2 linked regions of the Cricetulus griseus genome follow. The protein of the gene in region 2 purifies or fractionates together with the protein of the main gene of each other region. This does not show direct contact. Links are inferred from orthologs where the notes say so. Each region holds a gene or a part of one and is shown on either strand. Other genes may lie near its edges.

What was found.
Region 1: the proteins of Tgoln2 (region 2) and Galnt2 purify together in Homo sapiens (affinity purification with mass spectrometry; 3 studies listed by BioGRID and IntAct, counting the BioPlex papers as one, with this or other methods). This does not show direct contact. The link is inferred for Cricetulus griseus from reciprocal best matches to the Homo sapiens genes TGOLN2 and GALNT2.

The regions. Positions count from the first base shown.
Region 1 is NC_048596.1:200,924,552-200,929,027, reverse strand, and holds the start of Galnt2 (polypeptide N-acetylgalactosaminyltransferase 2), read right to left. Parts: upstream 2,900-4,476; 5' UTR 2,842-2,899; coding exon 2,719-2,841; intron 1-2,718. UniProt on the Homo sapiens protein: Catalyzes the initial reaction in O-linked oligosaccharide biosynthesis, the transfer of an N-acetyl-D-galactosamine residue to a serine or threonine residue on the protein receptor.
Region 2 is NC_048601.1:64,348,438-64,352,988, forward strand, and holds the start of Tgoln2 (trans-Golgi network integral membrane protein 2), read right to left. Parts: upstream 3,090-4,551; coding exon 3,084-3,089; intron 1,161-3,083; coding exon 689-1,160; intron 455-688; coding exon 1-454. UniProt on the Homo sapiens protein: May be involved in regulating membrane traffic to and from trans-Golgi network.

The sequences.
Region 1 (4,476 bases), on a different chromosome or scaffold from region 2:
ATCCACTGCCAGCATACCAGGGCCCCAGGGAAACTTAACATGATTAAAATTTTAAAGCATTTAAGATGCTCAAAGGGAAGGCATTCTTGAAGTGCAAATCATCAGTTTAGGGAGGAAAGAGTAAATATGGCAGGGGGAGATACCTATACAAATGAAATGCAATTTTAAGCATTATGCATAAATTGCTTTAACATGGGGCCTCAGCATTTCGGAATCACAGTATTGAGTCCCCAGTTTTCCAGCAAATGCTGACAGTTGGTTTTCAACTCCTTAGTTCATTCAATCTGTAGTCTGGGGTGAGCTGAGTTTCTGGGTTTTGCTAAATGGGGAACAGCAGTTCTGAGAGGAGTTGTTTAGCAGGCAGGGCACACAGTGCACAGCCTGGCCTGGCTGCTGAAGCAGCAGAAATCCTAACAGGGTGCCCTCAGACAATCCCCAAAGCACAATCCTAAGGCCTGGGGCCCCATGAGAAAGAAAACACCAGGGCATGAAGAAACTAACTTGAGCTCGGCTATGAATGGTACCAAACACAAGAAGAAATGCAGCCAGCCTACAATAACTCCTCTCCTTATCATATTTCACATTCATGTTGTACAAGCTAAAGAAACCACACATTTTTTCTCTGTGGCTTTGGAGCCTGTCCTGGAACTAGCTCTTGTAGACCAGGCTGATCTCGAACTCACAGAGATCCACCTGCCTCTGCCTCCTGAGTACTGGGATTAAAGGCAGGTGCCGCCACCACCACCCAGCCACATTTTCTCTTATCATGAGGATGAACTAAACATGGGGAGCCTTCTAGTGTTTAAAACCACTAAGGGAGTCAAGATGACACTCCATGGCTTGGGGCATCCTCTGCCTCTATCAGGGTCCACCCTGCTATGTTAATGAGAACACTACTGAAATTTCAAAACCTACTGCATTTACATACCTCTTCCTCCCCCTGCAGACCACTAAACCACGGTATTTCCAGCCAGGATTACATTTTATGGCTCACTGACAAAACAGAATCCCAGGTCCTCAATCCATGTATAACTGTTTATTTCCCCCACTTTTTTTCTGCATGGTCTCCATCAGATCACAAAGAGGTCTTGGGCTTTCTTCAAACCTAAAGCATATGCCTCAGAGGCATCCAGAGGACCACTTTGTCTGCCCACTGAAGCCCCTAGAGGTAGGGCAATAACCCCTAAAAGGCGAATGCCACAGGTGCCTTTCTACATACCTGTGCTGATCTAAACCTTTGTCAGTTTGCTTTGTTTTGTGTGCATAGGAAAAAGCACTGTCAGCAGCCAGGCTATTCCCAAGGTGGGGGAGGCATCTACTGGGGAAGCAAAGTTGGTACAAACCACACCTGCTCAGAGCCACTGTCATTCTTAAAAAAAAAAAAAGGCTGCTGCCACCAGCTACACGTACTAGACTTAAAAACTAACAAGGGCTTGCAACACACAAACCATTCAGAAAGCAGAGCTGACACAAGCCAAACACAGAGAAACAGTGTTTCACTTTCGTTACTGCAAAAAATAAAAACGAAATCACAAAATCCTCCAAGAGCCGAATAACATACTGCCATGTCCCTCCCTCTACACCTGCAGCTGGGAATAACTTGAAGATGCCAGAAGGAAAAGGGAGTCAGCCAAGTGCCCTTGACATTCAGGGTCTGACTAGGGGTAAAGTCGGCTCAGTGACAGTCCTTCCTACTCAACACCCTATCCCCTATCTCCCGTAGCCATGGTCTATTCCATCCCGTCTTTTCCGGTGGTGGTGTGTCATTCAACATCAAGCAAGGAGGATTACAGGGCTTTGGAAAAGATAACTATGCTTTGAAGCTCATTAGCTAGTAAAACACAAGCCCCTGATGCCCAGAGCAGACAGAACCAACACACCGGCAAGGATCTCACGCTCTGTGTCTGGCCGGTACCAAGCCGAGATGACTGCCAAATCAGGACCTATAAGCTCTAAGCGACCCGTGGTCCCCACAGCCTCACCACTCAGCCCTCAGCGCAGAATCCATCAGAAACACACACGGAGGACAGGGACTTGGGGTTAGGAAATTCAAGTGCAAGAGGCTAGGCAGTTCCCGCCGCCGTGAGGGGCCAAGAGCCGAGGTGGGCAGTGTAGCAAGTAGGAGAAAAGGTCTGGCAGGACCGCAGTCCATCCTCACTCCCTCTGGGTGCAGGGTGAGGGGCATCGGGTGGGATGACTCCTCTGATCGCTCGAGCACAGAGGTTCTGGTGGGACCGAGATCCCCATGATCCCGGAGCAGGACGTCCAGGGTCGGGATTCGAGTGCGGGTGGAGTGTGGCTCAGGGAGCACAGGGTCTCGGGTGACAACGATCACCAAGATCCCGGAACTGGGAATGAGGGTCCTGGAGCGTGCTGGACGGAGAGCGAAGCAGGGGGCAGGCAGTGTGGTCCCTACGATCCCGGCACAGGGAGTAGAGCGCAGTGGATCCATAGAGACAACAGTCCCCAAGATCCTTGCGCAGGGCGTTAAGTGGCTCGGGTGCTCGCGCCCCCCGTGCAGGAGGCAAGTCGCTGTACCCAGAGTCCCTGGTAAGCGGAGCAGGGCCAGGGCTCGCACTCCTGGCCTGAGGGCCCTTAGGAAACTTGACTCGCGCGTGAGGGCCAGGGTCCCCGCGGCTCCTGCCCAGAGCCTGGAACCACTCTCCGTGCACGGAGCCTCCCAGGCCCGGGTCGGCGCACAGGCCTCGCGGCACTCACCTTCCTGCCGGCGCCGCCCGCGCCCGCGGCCAGAGCGGAGCCGCCCCCCGAGTACATGTAGTAGGCGATGCCCAGCACCCAAAGCAGCGCGAAGCACAGCAGCATCCGCGAGCGCCGCCGCATCCTCGCACTGGGCGGCCGCCGGGCAGCTGGCGGCGCGCGGGCGGAGCGCGCGGCGGGCGGAGCGCGGGGCGGCGGCGCGGGAAGACGCGGCAGCGGGCGGCGGGCGGCGCTCGGCGCCCGGCAGGAAGCGGCGGCCCGGCGGCGAGGTCAGGGAGCAAAGGGCGACCAATCGACGCTGAGGGGCGGGGCTGTGGGCAGGGCCTCGTCTCCATGGCAGCGGAGCCCCGCCCACCGCGCGTCCCGGGGAGTGGCAGGTGGCGGTCCAGAAGGCTTGCACGCGGGTTCCCGAAGACCTGGAGTGGTCCTAGTCCAGTCTGCAGAGGTCGCCCCGGCCCGGCGTCCGTCTCATTTACTATTTGGGTTATTGGGTTTTTATTTTTTATTTTTCCTTTTTTTTTTAAAGTACAAGGTTTCTTTCTATAACCCAGACTGGCCTCGAACTCACTATCTAGCCCAAGCTGGCCTCAAGCTCACAACACTCCTCCTGCATCAGACTCCTGAGTCTTGGGATGACAGGCCTGCACCACCCTGAAGTTCGAACAAGACTAAGACAGGGAAGGTAGATTTCAAGAAACTTGCTTGTGAAGAGCCCACCTGCTCTTAAGAACAAAATAGCAGTAGTTTTAAATAAACATGAAAATGAGGGGAGAATGATGGCAATTTATGTTTTTAAATCTTTTATTTTTTGTTGGTTGCTTTCTTGAAGGAATAAGTTGAGCAAAGTAATCCACTTAATAGACCAGACAGCCAGTTCTCTGACAGCAGCTCTCTGGTGACTGTAACCTTGGCCATGCCCTTGTGACTCTGTAAGTCCCTGTGTCTGAAAAAGATTTTCCAGTACTTGAGAGACTGCAACTATTTCTGAGATCTGCACAGACTTCAGGAGGCAGGGACTGACTGCCTGAGAGGTAGTCTACCCAAGCCTGAACAAACCAAAGGCACAAGCAAGCCTTTGCTACTAGGATTTTGAGCCTTTCCTGAACTCCAAACTTCTTGGAAATGAGGAGGAAGAGCCACTCAATTCCAATAGATACCCCATTCCAGCAGATACCCCATTCCAGCAGACACCCTAGACACCCTATTCCAACAGACACCCTATTCCAACAGATACCCCGCTCAAGCAGACACCCTGTTCCAGCAGTCACCCCGTTTCAGCAGACACCCTGTTCCAGCAGACACCCTATTCCAATAGATACCCCATTCCAGCAGACACCCCGTTCCAGCAGATGTCCTTCACTACTGCCAAGACCTTAAGGAAGACAGGCTTGTCATCACCATAAAGAGAAGTCCAATTCCAAGAATGAGACTCTGAACACTGTAATGACCAGGGAAGAGTTCTGCAAACACTGAACAATAGATAACAGGCTTGAAAAAGCCCAGAGTCTTGGGAAAAGTCAGATAAGTGGGAACAACTGTGGCGAAGGGAATGAAGGAATTGAGGAGGAAACATGACAAACCCTGAGGAATAAAAGGAAAGAAGAGCAGCCCCCCGCCCCCCAGCACGGGCATCATCTGCTTATGATTGCACCTCAGTGGAAGACAGAAGAGAAAGCTCTCACCTGGAAGCCTGGCCCCAAATGCTTCCTAACTGAAAAGCTGAAAGACAGAAAAAAAAATGTCACTGCAAAAAGAAAA
Region 2 (4,551 bases):
CCGCCTGGCTCTCCCGGCTGCTGCTTCTGATCCGTCTGTCCACCTGGCTCTCCCGGCTGCTGCCTCTGACCCGTCTGTCCACCTGGCTCTCCGAGCTGCTGCTTCTGACCCGTCTGCCCGCCTGACTCTCCCGGCTGCTGCTTCTGACCCGTCTGCCCGCCGGGCTCTCCCGGCTGCTGCTTCTGACCGGTCTGCCCGCCTGGCTCTCCCGGCTGCTGCTTCTGACCCGTCTGCCCGCCGGGCTCTCCCGGCTGCTGCTTCTGATCCGTCTGCCCGCCTGACTCTCCCGGCTGCTGCTTCTGATCCGTCTGCCCGCCGGGCTCTCCCGGCTTAGACTCCACTTCCTTCTCAGGAGACATGGGGCTCTGGTTGGAGAGTTTTTCTTTAGAAGACTGAATCGGAGAATTATCGTTACCTGAGGTGATGAGTGGGTTAGATTCATGCGGCGTAACACCTGAAATAGAAAAAGCAGTTAAGCCCTCGGAAGAAAAAGCTGGGAGAAGAGAAGGGGGCTTGGCTTCTCAGCGCTGGAAGATGCCAGCGGTGATGGCCGAATGAGAGAAGGGTGGAGATGGCCCGAGGGTCGGGCCAGGAAAGGAGGACGCCAGCTCCGGTGGTAACCCGCCAAGGTGAAGACGAGAGAACCTGAGGGAGAGGGTGGGATGGGGCGGGGGCTGGGGGGTCTTACTCGCCACTGCGACACTTAGGAGCAACGCAACTAGGAACCGCATCCTGTAGTCTGCACTTCCGCCCTCTTCTGCTGACGTGAGAGCGGCGCGAGGGACTTCGAGCCTGTGGCCACTCCCTTTCCGGCGGGCTGTTCCTCTTCCGGCGCAGCCCCGCCCCGGGGGCGGGGCTAACGGGTGCGGGCTGTCAGCGGCTGAGTATTCCGGTAGTGTGCAGCGCACGTGAGGACCCGCTCTTCCTCTTTTTCTCAGCACCCTGACGAGCTCAACCGCCTCTTCCCTGTGCACGTGTCCTCGTGCTCTGGGAGTTGTTCTGCGCGGCTGGCGCTGCGTCGCCCCTCGAGGCTCATGATATGGGGTCGCGGGGCCGGGAGCCGCTTCGCCGCGTCGTCCGCCGGTTCCTCTGACATCTCCGTTGCTGGTGGTGCTTTTCTCACTCCACACCAAAACGTACTCTGCTCGGGGCTTTCCCGTCTAGAAACAAACACTTCATCACTTTCGTTCCTGGTCGGAATCTCTTTCTTGACGGTATCTAGGGCCCTCTGAATTTACCACGGAATTTTTTTTCCCCTTTTTCTGAATTTGTTTGTATTTGATACTGCATTACTCTGCGGACGGGCTAGCGTCAAGCTCGTGCCTCCCGAGTGCTTAGGATTGCATGCGTCTCGCCACGCCCCCTTCTGGGGCTATTTATTTATTTAAGACATAAGGTATCAAAGATTTATTTTGTGTGTACCACCTATGCGCGGTGTCCTTTGAAGACGTGTATCAACACTGCCTGGCAGCAATATATTCTTAATAATTCAAACAAGAAAGCAGAAAAAAAGGTAATACTTATAAAAATTTATTTTAGGGAAGCCCAGCAGTGCGGTACATGCCTTCAATTCCAGCACTCAGGAGGCAGAGGCAGGAGGATCTTTGAGTTCGAGACCAGCCTGGTCTAGTTTCAAGCTAGCCAAGTCTACATAGAGGAACCCTGTCTTAAAAAAACAAACAAGAAAATACTATTTTAGGGGATAGAGAAATGATGGATTAGTGGTTAAGAACACTAACTGCTCTTCCGAAGGACCTGAGTTCCATTCCCAGCGCTCACAAGATAGCTAACAAAGGTCTGTAATTCCAGTGTCAGGAGATTTGACACCCTCTTTTGGCCTCCACAGACATAGTACGAATATGGTGTACAGACATACATGTAAGCAAAACATACATTTTTTAAATTCTTGCTGTTTGTTCATCTATTGATTATTATTTGCATTTGTTTCTTGTATCAGCTGTGATAGGGCTGGGTTGTTTAAACAGGTTGCTTGAAATAATTTATGAACATTTGCCAGTTTAGGTATTTTGTAAACAATGATTTAACAAATAGCAGGTCCTAGCTCAAACCAAAAATCCCAAAAACTATGTTCGTTTTGTTTTTGTTGTTTTGAGACAGGCAGCTTATAGCAGACCTGGAGCTCACTCCAAAAAGCAGTTGACCTTGAGTTAGCATCAGTCTTCCTTCCCCTGCCGAGATTACAGTTGCGTGCCACCATGCCACGTTAAATGGTCCTCAAAACTGGGGAGGTTTAAGACAGAAGCTATTTTAAATAAAATTATGAAATTATTTTATGTGCATGTGTGTTTTGTCTCCATTTATACCTATTTATCACGTGCCTGTTTGGGGCCCAAGGAAGCCAGAAGAGAGAATTGGATCCTTTGGAACTGGAATTGAGAGATGATTGTGAGCTGCTGTGTGTGTGTGCTAGAGATTGAACCTGGGTCCTCTGGAAGAGCAGCCAGGGCTCTTAAACTCTGAGCCATCTCTCCAGCCTCAGAGGCAAAGGATCTTTTGAACTGCCAGATTTTGGAGGCCAGCCTGAAGAACAAAGTGAAACTCAAGTGCATAAATAGCCAGTTGTGGTGGTGCACGCCTTTAATCCCAACACTCAGGAGGCAGAGTCAGGCGGATCTCTTGTGTGTTTGAGGCCAGCCTGTTCTACAGAGTGAGTTCCAGAACATGCAGGGCTGTTGCACAGAGAAACCCTGTCTCAAAAAAAAAAAAAAAGCAAAAGTACATAAATAAATACAACTTTAATTTCATAAAGTAAGCAATCTGGTGAAGTACATAACTACCACATAGATGTTTATTCATGTTTACTGTAATGGTTCATTTTTATTGTCAACTCGATGGGCTTTAGAATCACCATGGAAAGAAGTCTCTGGGCACTCCTGTAAGGGATTATCTAGGTAAGGTTAACTGAGGTGGTAAGACCCACCCTGTGTGTGGACATTAGTATCTCATGGGCTCGAGTCTTGAACTGAATAAAATGGAAACCAAGCTGAGCACAACATAGAATATTCATACCTCTCTGCTTCCTGACTACAAATTCAGTGTGACCAGCCACCTCCTGCTCTTACAGCCATGATTTCCATTCCATGATGCTCTGTGTATTTCTGGGAACTGTAAGCCAAAGTTAACCTTTAAATTACATTTGTCAAGTAGTTTGCAATGATCTCCAGACAAATAACTGATTGAAAGCATTCCAAGAACTGCCAAGCAGAATATGAAAAGTGTGTATCAGCTGAGGAATGAACCATGGGACTGAGGACAGAAGGTTGTAGATACTTCTGGGGACTAATGAAAGGAGAGAGGGATGAGGATTCCTGGCAGAGTGAGCAGCACATGCAGTGTGAACCTGGTGTTGTGGGTAAGCCTAAAGAGCAAGCTTGTTGTGTGACAAGGATAATGATAGAGAAGGAGGTTGGAACAGAGCCAGACCGAGAAACCAGTGATCTGGGAGTTGACGAGAATGTAAGTTTTTATGCAATAGAAAATATGTCAGCTAACTCTGGTTGACAAGTAAACTGGGCCCACTCCAGCCAAAAAGGACTATAGCCATAAGAAAGTAACACTCTGTGAGAGGCCTGGATGTGAGATATGATATATGATATGATATGATATGATATGTAGTCCTGGATGGCTGAAATTTTTCAAAATTTCAAGAACTAGTACATAACACAACTACAGTTTTAGAAACAAGGGCCTTTTCTGTTATTTGAATAAAAATCCCTTTAACAGGCTCCTCACCACTTCTCCCCATCCTTTTCCTCTCCCCTCTTACATTACTGAAGAAAGAATAAAAATCTGATGAGAAGTCTACCAGATTATTTCAGGAGCTGGACGATAGCTCAGTGGTAAAGTGCTGCTTGCCTGACATGTGAGAAGCCCTGGGTTCCGTCTCCAAAACTCAAAAAAAAAAAAAAAAAAAAAAATCTTTAGAATGTTGACTCTGCCTTGGCTAGAGGAAGTGAACTGGTAAAGGAAACTTTTTCTAAAAGAAAATTCTGTCTGCCTGCTTTAAGATAAATGTTTGACTAACATTTAAGGATATTGGCTTAGTGAGGGTGTGGGTGGGTGGGGAGGGTAGTGGCAAATGATTAAACCTGACCTGGTGTCCACATTACTAGGTAGGGGAGGAAAAAAGGTCTGCTCACACAGAGCTCTTGGACACTGAAGAGGTTTAAGTAGGGGCAAGTTGTAATCAGAGTGGAGAATGTTTGGCCATTACTTGGCTGGTATCACAAAGAATTGACTTGGGTAGTAGGGGAAAGGGATCAGGAGACTCTTGCAACAGTCCCAAGTTGTGCACAGGCCCAGAGAGCATGATGGGAGGTGGTCAAACTGGAGATGCGATTGGAAAGCAGTACCAATATGCTTCCGAGGTAGACTGGAAAGGAAGCAGAGGAAAGACGGGGAGGGAGAAAGGAAGGCACTTTCTCCCTGAGGTAGGAACGAACCACTGCTCGAGAACCAGAAGGAAATGAATTTGCTTCTGGTCAATTACTTATTACTTTGGTTTATCTTCACTTTAGATGATTGTGATAG